Alligator mississippiensis: one gene and its partner. The protein of the gene in region 1 purifies or fractionates together with the protein of each later gene. This does not show direct contact. Links are inferred from orthologs where the notes say so. Each region holds a gene or a part of one and is shown in the gene's direction. Other genes may lie near its edges.

The links.
Region 2: the proteins of SKIL (region 1) and RNF111 purify together in Homo sapiens (affinity purification with western blotting; 3 studies listed by BioGRID). This does not show direct contact. The link is inferred for Alligator mississippiensis from reciprocal best matches to the Homo sapiens genes SKIL and RNF111.

What each region holds. Positions count from the first base shown.
Region 1 is NC_081830.1:74,864,795-74,871,701, forward strand, and holds the start of SKIL (ski-like protein), read left to right. Parts: upstream 1-3,869; 5' UTR 3,870-4,017; intron 4,018-4,317; 5' UTR 4,318-4,601; coding exon 4,602-5,708; intron 5,709-6,907. UniProt on the Homo sapiens protein: May have regulatory role in cell division or differentiation in response to extracellular signals.
Region 2 is NC_081834.1:38,758,478-38,765,733, reverse strand, and holds the start of RNF111 (E3 ubiquitin-protein ligase Arkadia), read left to right. Parts: upstream 1-4,234; 5' UTR 4,235-4,287; coding exon 4,288-4,319; intron 4,320-7,256. UniProt on the Homo sapiens protein: E3 ubiquitin-protein ligase. Required for mesoderm patterning during embryonic development. Acts as an enhancer of the transcriptional responses of the SMAD2/SMAD3 effectors, which are activated downstream of BMP.

The sequences.
Region 1 (6,907 bases):
CCAATTAAAGTGTGCAGTCAACGTGTATAAGTTAAAAAACATTGAACTAATTTGTGGATAATCTTGTTCGAGTCTGCCCTGCACCTCCTATGGACAAACCAGGCACTTGTCCAGGGCAGCAGCATGGAAATGGCAGCATTTCTAGCACTGATTAGTGATGATCAGCTTCCAATTAGTTGGCATGGTTAATTATGGAAATATGGAGGCAAAAATCTATTTTGTCTGGGGACAGCTCTGCAGTCCAGAATAAACTGACCTTTATTTGCTGTAGACCCTTTGTCTCTGAATAAGAGTATACACAGAGAGGTTTAAAGTATCCAGATTTTTGTAGCCGCATTAGTCTTGAGGAAAAGATAATCAGGACTCATAGTAGAGATGATATCTTTTATTAGACCAACAAGATGTTTTGCAAAAAAAAATAAAAATCTTTAATTGCCTGCTTTTGGGTACAAACACCCTTCGTCAGGCATTGGAGAAAAGATTGTTAAAGTTCTCCTGGGTAGAAATGAAAGTTCATATTTCATAGGATTTCACAGAGAGGTCAATAGATGGAAAACTCCTCTGGGCAGTCAGTTCATAGAGAGGTTTAAAGCACTTTTAATTCATATGCACTTGATGTCTTATCTTTAGTTAATTTGCTTTTGACATCTGTCCACAGTCTTAAGATGGAATATTAACTAAACCATTTTAAGAAGGTAGACTTACTGCGGCAGACTAGGTGTCACCTGAATATGTAGTTGTTGTAGTTTAAACTACCTGCTTCTATAGTGCTATAATCTTGAATGAAACAAATTTAAAGTTGCAATAGCTTAGTTCTTTACCTGTTTCTCAGTCCACTCCTAGTGGACAGCCCATAACAGACAATATAGCCAAAAGTACAAAGAAAGGGGACAGGGCCAAAATCCTAGCACCATTGGATGAGTAAAGTGGGGGTGGGGGAAGAGTGACAATGCCTGAAATAAAATGAATTGGTACAGTGGGTATAAACTGTGAAGGGTCTTGATAGAGTGGGGGCAAGACATCTTCTGTCCTGCAGCTGAGAAAAACAAAGTATTGTACCACCCTAATTAAATGAGCTATAGTACATTGACTGAATAAAACAACTAACTAACCATATTTTGCTCCTTCTTCCCCTTCGTGATTAATTTTTGTTCACTTTTTGAACTTCCTTCCATTGGTAGGTACAGCCTGAAAACTGCAAGGTAAATTAGTGAAATGAGTTTTGGGGCATTATAACACCCTTCTGGGTACTGGTACCCCAACACCAGACTTTCCTCTACTCCCAGCCCCACTTCACCTCTGGTTTTTCTCCTGCCACACCTTTGATGCTACTTGGTTGTAGCTGAGAGAGGCAGTCCCTGGTATCAGGGGTAACTGCTAGTTGCCCCATTGAGCCTGTACTCCCCTTCAAGTGTTTCCCTTTTAAGGGCAGACAAGGTTCCCTTTTAAGGGAGCATTTCCAAGGCTTCTGAGGACTTGTCAGACCCTCTGCTGTCATAATCATGGTCCCCTTTTTCTCTGGCTACATGCCCAGCCTTGGTCTACCATTTAAGATCTCAACTGCCAGTTATCAGCCCTCCTAGGGAGCCCTACCTTGGCAGTTGAAAATCTCAGCACCAGCCTCCACTTGTTTAGCTCAGGGCCAGCTCTTAGGGCAAGTAGCAGGGGAATGCCACCCAGGCATCCCTGTTCATGGCCTCCTCCACTCCCTGTAGCCACAACTCAGTCCTGCAGTACAAACAACAAAAACATGAGACAGCTGCTTCATAACCCAAATAGTTTCCTTCTCAGGATAAATGTTGCCTGTAGGCCCTAACTCTTGCAAGAGACTCCTCCACTTCCCCTGGGTGGCCAGCCTCTAATAGCTGCCCACTCCAAAGAGCTTCTCCCTATTGCAGGCAGAAGCTTCCCTTATGTTGTCAGACTGGACTAATACTCCCCAGCCCAGTCTCTTTTCAGGTACTGGACAGGGCCTTCTGCACCAGGTACAGCTAATCCCTTCATGAGCCACCTGGCCTTATCAGTCCTGGGCCCAGTCCACCTGGGTTGTTGCTCCTTACTGTCCTTCTTGGCCCAGGGTCCCTCATTCTCTCAGGCCTTTCTAGTGACAGGAGCAGGAATACCCTGTTACAGGCACCCTCACAATTTCCCACCACATTGTCTGCTGGACCTTGAAGAGGCAGAGAATCGCAGGGGGTTTAGAAAGGATGTTCTCTGCCCTGTGCTGATTATGTTTGCTCCAGTTCTCCCTTCACCTTCACTCCAATTCTGCTCTTCTCCTTTCCCCTGCCCTTAGTTTCTACCCGACTAAGTAAAGCCTCCCTGTAAGTAAAGACATCCCAGAAATAAATGAAAGGATCCTGATTCTTGCTACCATCACATGGCTCATTTTTTCTCTCTCATACTCCTTCCCTGCCCCGTGCCTGTTTGGTATGTTTAGACCCAGGTTCTCAACCTTTGTAGACTCAAGATAAAGGCCAAAGTGGAGTATGTGGAACTACAGAAGGATCTGCCATGGCTGAGTGAATGAGCAACCAAATAGCAGGTGAAATTCAGTATAATTAAGTGTAAAATGATGTACCTGGGTAAAAATAACCCTAACTATACTTATACAGTGATGGGCTTGACATTAGCTTCTACCACACAGGAAAGAGATCTGGGAATCATTGTGGACAGGTTGCTAAAAACATCAGCTGAGCTCAGCAGCCCTCAAAAAGGCAAACAAAATGTTAGGGCTCATTAAGAAGGGAATCACAAACAAAACAAAACATATGAGCATGCCCATTTATAAATCTATGGTGCGTCCACACCTTGAATACTGTGCCCAGTTCTTAAAAAGGATATAGAAGGACTCGACAAGGTCCAAAGAAGGGCAACGAGGATGATTAGCAGCATGGAGGGGCTACCGTAGGAGGGAGACTAAAGAGACCAGGCCTTTTCACTTTAGAAACTACAGGCCGTGATCAGAATTTACGAAATACTAAACAGTGAAGTCAATTTACAGTCTCTCGCAGTAGGAGAAAGAGGGGACACACAATAAAATGAATCCCCAAGACGTTGAAAATGGCCGTTTTCAACCTTCTTTCATTTGTGGGCCCCTCAAAATATTTTGAGCAGCAGCATGGCCCCCCTGAATGGCAAGCGTGGGTATTTGCACACTTTTGATTGATCACCCTCGCCTTTCACAGCCCCCTTAGGCGTAGTCTGTGGTGACCCCCCCCCAAGGGCGATAGACACGGGTTTCAACCAAGCCAGGGACGTTTCTTTTCGTCAGAGCAGGCCCTGGTGGAGCCGGGCGTGGGGGCAGCCACGGATTCACCGGGGACCGGACACCGAGCGAGGGGCAGGGCTCCCTGCACCCGACCAGGGGAAGAGGGACCCGGGGGGGGCCCACACAACCGGCTCCCTTCTCTCTGCCGCAGGGCTTTAAACACGTGGGAGCCCGGGCACGGCAGAGCGGGGAAATGGCAACTGCACGGTCACTGCTCTGAGCTCCCCGGGCTCCTCCGGCCCCGGCCGAGCAGCTGGGCCGCGTGCAGGAGGCCGGAAGCCCCCGCGGCGCCGGGCCCGGGGTTTCCCTGGGGCAGCGGCCCCCGCGGAAGGGCTCCCGGCGCCCGGCTGAGTCACTGCCGGCTCCGCCCCGTCTGCGCCCGGCCGCCGCCACAGGGAATCCCCGCGCTGGCCCGACCGGGCCGGGTGAGGCGAGGTGAGGCGAGGCGGGGCCGAGCCGGGCCAGGCCAGGCCAGGCCACGCCGCGCGTGGGCGTGGGCACGTCCCGTCCTGTCCTGAGGGGGGCGGGGGCCCGTGGGGGGAGGGGCGCCGCAGACGGGGGGCGGGGCGGGAGCGCGCACCCGGCGGGTTCGTGGCCGCGCGCCGCCGCCGCTGTCTGCGTCTCCGCAGTGAGGTCACGGGGAGGCGGCGGCGCGCGCGGGCGAGCGAGAGCGACACTGCCGAGGGAGGGAGGGAGGCCCCCGCGCGGCTCCGGAGGCAGCGGAGCCGAGCCCGCACAACGGAGAGGTAGGGCCCGGGGGTCGTGGGCGCCCGCCCGCGTGGGGGAGGGGATGTGGTGGCGTGGGGGAGGGGCCGGGCGGCGGCGCGGGGGGAGGGGCGCGTTCTGCGGGTGGGGGCGGGGCGGGTGTCCCGGGGGGAGGGGAGGGGGTGTCCCGCGGCCTGTGGAGGTTCCGGCCCTCCCTCCCCCCCTCGGGGAGGATGGGGGCAAACGGGCCGCCAGGCTGAGGGGGCAGCAGGGCCGGGTCTTGGCAGCCTGCTGGGAGACCGACTTTTCCCTTTCTCCTTATTTTTCCCCCCGCCTCCCAGATGAGTTGGTGCCTGATGGAGAAGCCAGCGGTCTGCGGGCAGGAAACGTGCCCTGCTGTCTGCGCTGCCTAAGAGCCCAGCAGGGCTTTGTAACACCGTCCCTTCCCACTCGGCTGCCCTCCCGGAGGCCCCGGCATAGCGCTGTCCTGGCCTGGCCTGGCCTGGCGTGGCATTGATTGCGTGTCTGAGGGAGTTCAGATAAGCCACAACTGACATTTGTTTGACAGAGAAGCTAGAGAGATGCGCCCTCACGGTTTCTTTCTGTAAACGCGTGGCGGTCGGCGATGGAAGGCCCGCAGGCAAACTTCCCCCTGCGCCCTGGCTCCGACCAGAAAGTGAATAGGATGCGGGAGGATGGGAGCCCTCCGGTAAAGAAAGCAATGACAGAAATGCATGGAAATACTGAGTTCCCAACTGGGGTGAGTAAGATGCCCACCATCAAGAAGGAAAACTTGGATGAATATGATGAAACTCCCATGGAGGTGGATAGAGAAAATGTCAAGTCAGACAGCGCTGCTGTATCTGAGCGCCTGAGTTTAAACCCTGGTTTGAAACACACCTTGGCACAGTTCCACTTAAGTAGCCAGAGTTCGCTGGGTGGACCAGCCGCTTTTTCCGCTCGCTATTCTGAGGAAAGCATGTCTCCCACCGTTTTCTTGCCTCTTCCATCGCCGCAGATACTTCCTGGCCCCTTGCTCGTCCCTTCAGATAGTTCCACGGAGCTCACTCAGACTACGCTGGAGGGGGAATCTATTTCCTGTTTTAAAGTTGGTGGAGAAAAGAGACTCTGCCTACCTCAAGTCTTGAATTCTGTGCTCCGAGACTTTTCCCTCCAACAAATTAATGCAGTTTGTGATGAATTGTACATATACTGTTCAAGATGCACTTCTGATCAGCTTCATATCCTAAAGGTATTGGGGATCCTTCCATTTAATGCCCCATCCTGCGGGTTGATCACGCTGACTGATGCGCAAAGATTATGCAATGCTTTACTACGTCCTCGCACTTTTCCTCAAAATGGCAGTCTGCTTCCTGCTAAAAACACGTTGGCTCAACTTAAAGAAACTGGCAGTGCCTTTGAAGTAGAGCATGAATGCTTGGGCAAGTGCCAGGGTTTGTTTGCACCTCAGTTCTATCTTCAGCCAGATGCTGCCTGTATCCAGTGTTTGGAGTGTTATGGAATGTTTTCTCCACAGACATTTGTGATGCATTCACATAGATCTCCTGATAAAAGGACCTGCCACTGGGGTTTTGAATCAGCCAAATGGCATTACTATCTTCACATTAACCAAAAATATTTAGGAACATCAGAAGAGAGGGAGCTGAAGCATCTCTTGGAGGAAATGAAGGAGAAATTTAGCGTGAAAAATCAGAAAAGAACTCAGTCCAAAGTAAGTCCAGTTTAATCTGATAAAACTTTTGGATTACTTGCTGTTAACAGATGAATACTTTTGAAGCATGCTGTTCATTTTCCTAAATACGAGCCAGTGTCAGATCAAGTATAAGCTAGGTGTGTGAATGATCTGCAGCATACATAATACAGTCTCAACAATTTCAATGTAAAAGGCTTAGTATTAAGAATTCTTTTCTAATTGGAGCTTTTGTCATAAACTGGTCAAAAACTTTCAGAACGTAGTTCTGTTTCTTTGGATGTTTTTGATAGTCATGTTGGTCTGAGACTAAAAGAAATGCAAAAGCTTTAGAACTCCTGGTTCAGAAATGATACCTTTTATTAGACCAACTAGGATAATAAAAGGTATCATTTCTGAACCAAGAGTTCTAGGTTTTTGCATTTCATTCTGTTTCTTTTGCTTTTTTAAACTGGCAATATCTGGAAAATGTAGAGGTTTCATGGACAGTCTGTCCTCCTGTTTGACCTACACATTGTGTGATTGTTTTATACCAAGCATGTTGCAATAAGCAGGAAGCTGCCTGAAAAATCAAGTGCTAGCTTAAACTGACAGACACGGACTTAAATTCCTGTGCGTATATGTACACATGGTATACAGCCAGTTATCTTGCTAAGCACCCAATAGCGTGTCATGATTTTTAAGGTGATAGTGCATTGATGCTGGTGAGAGGCCAAAGGCTGCTTTTAGAACGTGGTAATATCTTTTTTTTATGTTAAACATGTAATGTATAAGATATTACTTGAATTGCTTTTAAGGCCTTTCTCATATTACTGTGCAATGCACCTTGACACACCAATGAGAGAGACTGCCTATTTCAGTAACACTGTAAGTCTACACAGTATTTCACAAGCGTGAAGTTAGTTCTACTACAGTGATATCATAATCTAAATAAGACAAATAAATATAAGATAAATGTTAACTGTTTATAAAAGAAGAATGAGAAATGCTTGAAAAAGAGGTTATGAGGAAGGATTTGGAAAATAGAGGGTAACTAATGTGTTACTGATTTGAGGCATTGCTGTGGTAGTTGTGTTTGTAGATTATTAATAATTTTTCTGAGAAGAGCTTAAACTTTGAGTTTTTGGAATGTTTCCATTCCTCTTGGGGTTCTTTTTGTTGTTTGGAAGAATTTTCCTGTTCACTTTTGCATACAGCTATTGCATTAAGTGGGGAGGAGT
Region 2 (7,256 bases), on another chromosome or scaffold:
ATGTTTTTACTCTTTATTTTAAGATTTGTTCCAACACCTTATATAATATCAAGGTCAGACCATTGGGCTTGTATGATAATGATGTTCATCAGCACAGAGGCACAATGGCTAATGGAAATGAGAGTATTGAAACAGAAGTTACCACAAGCAACATGTAGCAAAATTCAAAGAGCTTAATGAGCAGAAACTGGATACGCCTTATTCCAGAGCTATGAAAACTGACATGTGAAATTGTCCCAAAGATTTTAAAGAAATCTAACAAGTTGGGGACAGTTTTAAGAAATCTAACAAATCAAGGACTGACTAGAAAATAGCAAAAGTTGTAGCTGTATTTAAGAATGGGGAAAAAGAGTGATCACCTGAATCACTTTTTTCTCCATTCTTTGATCACTTTGTAAGCTGCTGCATGTGCCCCTGTGTGCCCCCCCATGCATCTGGGGCTCAGCCTTTGGGGGGGCTGAGCCCCCCCACCTTTCTGCCGCCTGTGCTTAAAGAGATTCCAGGCTTTCTCCATATCCATAAACTCTTCAGTCTAGGTAGTGTCACTAAGTAGTTCCCTTTGTTTACCAAGGTTTGCTTTTTTATGATTGAAACCCCTAGGTACAGACCAAGTTTTTAAAAGCTTCTCTTTAAATTTACAGTTAAATCAACTCATGAGCCAATGTTCTGTTCTATAGCTTGTTTATAATGTTGTCATTACCAGGGATCCAGGTTTTCTGTTTGCCATGGAAAAAATGCGTGTAACCCAGGCAGTACTCCAAAAGGTACCCCCTCTCCAATTGAAGGGATCAGAGCAGGTGCACAAGTGCTGTGGGAGGTGTAGGGATTCTCCTCCCACTATAGAGCAGAGCCAGACCACCACTGGGGACTTAACCACATACCTTTTAATGAGGGAACATAACAGGTATAATCAGGGGGTATAGTGGACACCACAATGCCCCAAGGGGCAGGATTCAACAAAGGTTAGACACTTACAGTCATTGGCAAAAGACAGGGGTAACAAAATATAAAACACAAACAACAGAGCAAACAATACTGGTTGGGGAAATATAAAAAAAGGCACAAAATACAAAATGTCAGAGGACAAAGAAATATAGGGCCTAGGTCACTGGAGGGGGAGAAAGGGGGGAAGATGCAGTGGCTCCTGTCTACTGCAAGAAGAATTTCTCCTTGTTAGCTCACTCACCCCAAGTCAACAAAGCTGGGACTTGAACTCAGTTCTCCCACAGGATAGGCAAGAACACTGCTATACAGCCACCACTGCTGGTATAGCTCCAAACTGCTAGGGGTCTTGACCTTCCTGGAGCCCCGGCCTCACATCAAGCTGTCTGGCCTCTTAGTGGAAGAGCTGGAAGCCAAGCTGGGACCCCTCAGGTTGCTGCTCAGATCCTCCTGCTAGCTACAGCCTCTTGTAGGGGGTCCTGGAGCCCAGCAGGATGCCTCTCTTGTCATCCACATACCGTGCTGCTGAGGGTCCCACTGCTGCCTGCAGGTCTTGCTCCTTCAGGCTCTTCTGGGGCAACTGCTTCCACCCTGCTGGCCCAGCTCTTCAAAGCTCCTTCCTCATAGTCCCTCACTGGTCTCCTCTTGAATCAGCTGTGCTGCCCCTTTTATCCCCCTCCAGGTGACCCAAGGGGCCAATCAGGGGACATGAGGGGTGAATCTCTGGGCCTGATTGGTGAGGAAAGGGAATCCCAAGTCCTCCAATGGTCTTTTACCCCTTCAAAACCCCATGGGCCAAATCATTACCAGATTGGTGAGGAAAGGGAATCCCAAGTCCTCCAATCATCTTTTGCCCTTTCAAAACCCCTGGGCTAGGTCACTGCCAGCTAGCCCGTCACATCTGGTAAAACCCAGATTTTCTCACTTCAAGGAGAAAAACCCTGATGCTGTGTGCATTCCTGGTGGAGGGGAAAGGGGGCAAATGCTCCCCAGATTTGTGTGCAGGGCAGATGCAGGCTGCCCACTGCCAGCTCAGGCTCCCTGCCCTGCTGCCCTTTCCCTGTGGTCTCCAGAGCCCAACAGGCGGGACCTGGCAAAGCAGGGCAGAATGGGGCTGGGAAGCTCAATGCCACCACCTGGAGTCCTGCACCACCATAGCGAGGAGCCCTCTGCCTCACCTGGCAGTAACAAGGTTGGTGGCATGGAGATGTGCTCCTTGCTGCTGCCGCTATGGCAGTGTGGAGCTCCTGGTAGTGGCACGAGCCTCCTCGCTCTGTACTGCTGTGCCAGGTCCCATGGAGGGGCGGGGGGGTGGAGCAGGGCGGGGAGCCTGTATCTGCCCCCTGTCCTCCAGTGGGCTCCACTCAGATAGTGCTGCCTGTGGGGAAGGGGGAGTTGTGTCCGTGCTCTGCTCTGCCACAGCAGCTGCTGCCTCCCATGGGTGGCAGCTAGGGTTTGGGCAGTGTTGTGGGGTACAGGAGGCTGTGGATCATCCCTGGTCCCGTAGCCCTGGCAGTTGGCAGGGTTGGGAGGCGCAGGGGGCTGTGGGTGGGGAAGGGAACCGGCAGGAGTGGGGGGCTGTGGGTTGGGAGTGAGGGGCATCAGCGGGGCCCAGGGGTTTGTGGGTCAGGAGTAAGGGACAATGGCATGGGCAGGCCACTGGCATATCAGGACTGCTCAGCACTACAAAGCAGTGTTTTGTGGGGGAGGATAGCTACAGCTGGACCTATGTCCTGGTGAGTGGAGGGGCATGGGGAGCTCTAATTTTCCATGATTAAAAAAACCCAAATCAAATGCCAAAATGTATAGATATTTAGAATTTATTATGATTGAGCACTGGTAGGCTTCCAAATTGCTTTAAAATTGTAAGCCTATCAATAAAACATTCAATTTATATATATATATATATATATATAGCGGTGTTTCATTTTAATCATGGAAAAATACAGATTGGGGGCTTTTTAATCAAAGAATTTGCAATATTTTATCAGAGAGTTTGCGATTTTTAAACCAAGAAAAGTGGGATTCCTGCTCATTACTTCCTGAAAGCAAGTCTACAACAGTATCACCTCTCGGCGGTGCTGCCGGAGCCCCTAGAACTTGCAGTATTGCCAACTCCCAGGATTTTTGGCGTTTGGGAATGTGACTTTCTTTTATATATATATCATTATATTGTATTTATAACAGTATATATAATATATAAAAGAAAGAGCCAAGTCTCGCATTCCCGAAGCGTAGACTTTAAGAACAAGGCCAACGATCCTGAGCGCTGGCAGCACTGAACTAGAGTAACCCAAAGGCTGATGCAGAGGGAAGCAGGCCCTGTGCCCCGCCCTGTCTCTGCATCACGCCCGATTCCTTATCGCGCTTGGCTTTGTCACCGGTCTTCCGATGTCCGAGCTACGTTTTATGCAGACAAGTTTCCAGCCCTGGGCACGGGAGAGGAGACGGCCAAGGTGAAGCAAGTGCTCCAGGAAAGACCAGGAACCAAAGAGCAGATTCAATTAATTCAGCATTTACTATTTCAAAAGCTTCTGCGCGGCTCACGCTCGGCCCGGCTCTGTGCCGCGACTGTTGCAGCACCCGGGGCCGGGCAATGGCCACCTCCGCCCGGGAGGGGGCGCTGCCGCGCAGGCCGCGCCCTTGCAGGCGCCGCCCGGGGGCGCTGGCGGAAGGAGGAGCGCTGTCCGGCGCGGCTGCGCTTTGCGGGCTGCCGTAAAGCAGCGGCAAGTGTCGCGCTGCCCCTGGGGAGGGAGGGAGGGAGCGGCGGCGGCGGCAGCGGCGGGGGCTGCGCAGCAAACAAAACCGCGAGCGCCCGGGCTGCGCCTGCCGCGGGTTGCTCTCGGCGCGGCCGGGAGGGCCGCGGGGCAGGGCGCGGGGCCTGGCGGGCCGACCCGATACCCGCCGCCCGAGCCGGCGCCGATGTGTGAGGTAGGTGGGGGCGGCTCCGCGCCGGGCCGGGCTCGGCCGCTGTCCGGGGCGCGGTGACGCAGCGGGGCCGGGAGCCCTTTCCTCCCCGGCCTCGGCGAGGCGAGGGGCTGCTCGGCCCCACGGGTCCCCGCCGAGGCAGCGCCTGCCGCCCGCGGGGCCCTTCGTGCGCCTCGGCCCCGCCGCAGTGTCCTTCAGCCGGGCCGCGGGGGGGGCCCTGGGGCTGCACCTGTTGAAATCGGGGTCTGGTCCTGCCTTAACGCGAGAGCAGGCGTCTCCCCGGGCCCTGCCCGACAGGGTCCTTGACAGCTGTGGAAGGAGGGGAGGAAATTGTGGTGCCAGAGAGGGGGAGTCGCCAGCCGGCTCCGCTGCTGCGCCGCTCCCTGTGCTTTCCTGTTTGCTGCTACGAGGGTCTTTATGGGAAAGAAGCCTTCAGCCACCACTAAAAGGTGAGCTGCTTCCTTAACCTTCACCTTAAGCTGGAGCGTCTTTGGTTTAAAGAGCTGCCCCACTTCTTGTGACCAAGTCCTGGATGAACCAAAGCAAAAGTCACTCATCCCAAGCTGGCACTTGGTGGTCAGTGACTGGCTGTAACGGAAAGTGATAAAGATTTCCACTGAGCTGTTGTCCAAACTGGGGGGGGCTCGTATTAAATCCTTCTTTTAAAGAAAAAAATCACATGGGTTACCTCCTTGCAACAAATAGAGGTTATGTATTTCATTTCAATATGAGGGCCTATGGAAGTGTTAACCGCAGTGCTTCACAACCAAGTCACAGTTGAACTCTCCTGGAAGGTATTTATAGACGCTCGTACTGTGGCATTGGGTGAGGTCTGAGGCAGAATGACTGACTTGCTTGGAGTCATCATGGTTTCAGTTATCCTTTCAATTATCACTGCTAGTGAGTATGGTTTGTGTGTCTATGAAATGACTTGACAGAATTGCATCTCAATGTCATCATGAGGAGTACAGTTTCTGCTTTTTCGTGAAGATGCATGCAGCAGCAAAGAGTTGTCTGCAAACTGAAGAATATCAGCACAACACCAGTATATATGCTCTTTTTTTTTTGTTTTTATCTGATAGTTGTGTTACTACAGCAGCTACGTTAGAAACATTTTGCTGAAGTGTTAAATTGGGGGTTAACCTAAAGCTTCAATAAGGTAAATTATCTTGTAAGGCTACAACTCCTTGATCCTAAGTTTACTATGTTTGCCTTGGAGTAATGTTCCTAGTTACCAAAAAATGATGCCTGCAGCTTTACTGCTGAACAAATCGCAATTTATGTAACAGGCTGAGTTTAACCCAAGGCTGAAACTAAGCACGCTAAGGATATTTCTGGAGTGATTGTCTCAATGTTCATGTACTCTCTTGTTTTGTCAAGTACATTTTTACGTGCATCCATGCTGCAGAGCATGCTCTGTATGCAGGTGGCCATGTACACATTGTTCTATATTGAAGCATTGGTTGTTACAGTTGCTAAGGCAGTATTGAACATTTTTTATTACTCCCTACAGTAGAGAGATGAATTCATAGTGTATCATAGGAGAACATGTCTGTCCTTCCTGGGGCCCTGTACTGAAATGTTCCTTGCCTGCCAGCACATCTAGCCAAGGTGTTTCTGGCTCTATACGCTTTGCTTCATGTTCCTTCCAGCTGGAGCCACGCCACAGATTCAACACCAGAGGAAGAGCTCTTCCTGCTTGTCACTGTGTATTGTTATTGCATGATACCAAGAGAGGGTGCTTTGAAACAGTGGTGGAAATTCTGTAGCAGTTCTTGTTCTCTAGAATAGAGGTGGCTAACCCTGGCATACATGCCACAAGTGGCATGGCCAGCTGGTGCATATGGCATGTGGTAGATTGCACAGGAGACAGAAAGCAGACCAGGCAGTGGAAGGGGATTAGTTTCAGACTTGGGGAGGGTGTGGGGCTAACTTGTGGCATGTATGACAAAAAGGTTGGCCCTTGCTGTGCTAATGTTGTGGCAGATTTGTGGTTGGATTCCGCCCTAATGCAGTTGTGGTACTTGATGCTTGCTGACATCAGCTGGAAATTCCCCCATGCATAGACAGGTATTCTTGGTACAGGACATACAGCACTCTTGGACTGTATTATTATGCTGATCTTTGATAACTAGTGGTGGCTACTGAATTTGTGCATTAGAAAGCATGCATTTGCAGAGGCACATGTGGAGTATGTCAGGACGTGAAATGAGGCATTGCTGGTCCAGAAGTGGTTTGCTGTAGCAACCTTGGGCAGCTGCAGGCCTGTGGTTAATCAGTCTAATGTTGGCAAGCCAACTTTTCAGGTTGGGCTAGCAGATGTTTGAGGTGTTTGAACACTGTGTTCACCCACAGATAAGTGTACTGGTTATACCCACTGGAATGATAACTAAAATTATCTTCCCAGATTGTGTACTGTGGTCATTAATGGCACTTGTGATGGGCAAATGTGGGGGGGACGGGACATAAATCCCAAATGGAAAGTGTGGATTGTTCTGCATCTCTATAGATAGACTTGAGATAAATGAGATCTGATATTAACTTGTTGAGTAACTAGGGACTTAGAAAAATATGTTTAGGGTTTGTATACCCACTCTTCTAGGGCACCCTGCCATGGCTTTCCCATGAGGACCTAGGAAAAGAAGGTTTAATTGCATACTTTACAGTTGCAGAGTGGTAGTGTAGTGTACACTTTAAAGGCTGTCAAGGCAGGAAGGTGTTGCCTACCAAACCATTGACAAAATGCAATCTGCATTATTTTGACATTCTGTGCAAAGCCAATGGTGTAAAGAGTCTTGAGTAACTGTTTTAACCAGAGGGTGCATTTGTCTTCACTGGGGCTGAGTTAAAGCAAGCAAGGGACTTCAGGGATGCCTTATTTACATATATGCATTGCAGGGGGTTGTGAATATGATGATGCTGTGTTGTGTTAAGTTGTAATGTACATGGTAAGGTTTGCTAAACAATTTACAGCGTTGTTATGGTTTTATGATATTGAATTTACATGGATTAAAATTCTTTATTAAAATGTTTGTACAGAACTTAGTGCTACTTCTTTTTCTGAAGCATGTGTGCCAGCGCATAGTGCACTAAAATATTTTATTAATAAAACATATCCAGTACTTTTAGAAAAAACCAGTGTGGGCATCCCAACCATGTGTAAACATATAGGTACAGAATGAGTGAGCCAGAATGTAGAACAGGCTGAGAAAGGAATGGAGTTACTCAGCATCCCCCTTCTCCAGTATCAACATTGACTGGAGAAGTGCTTGGAGAAGACTCCGCCCTTTTGTTCTAAGGTTGAAGTCTCCCAGACTGCAGGTTTCTACTGTAACTTGTCCTTTTGTTCAACCACTGAATGTATTTAAGGAACTCTGACAAGTCTG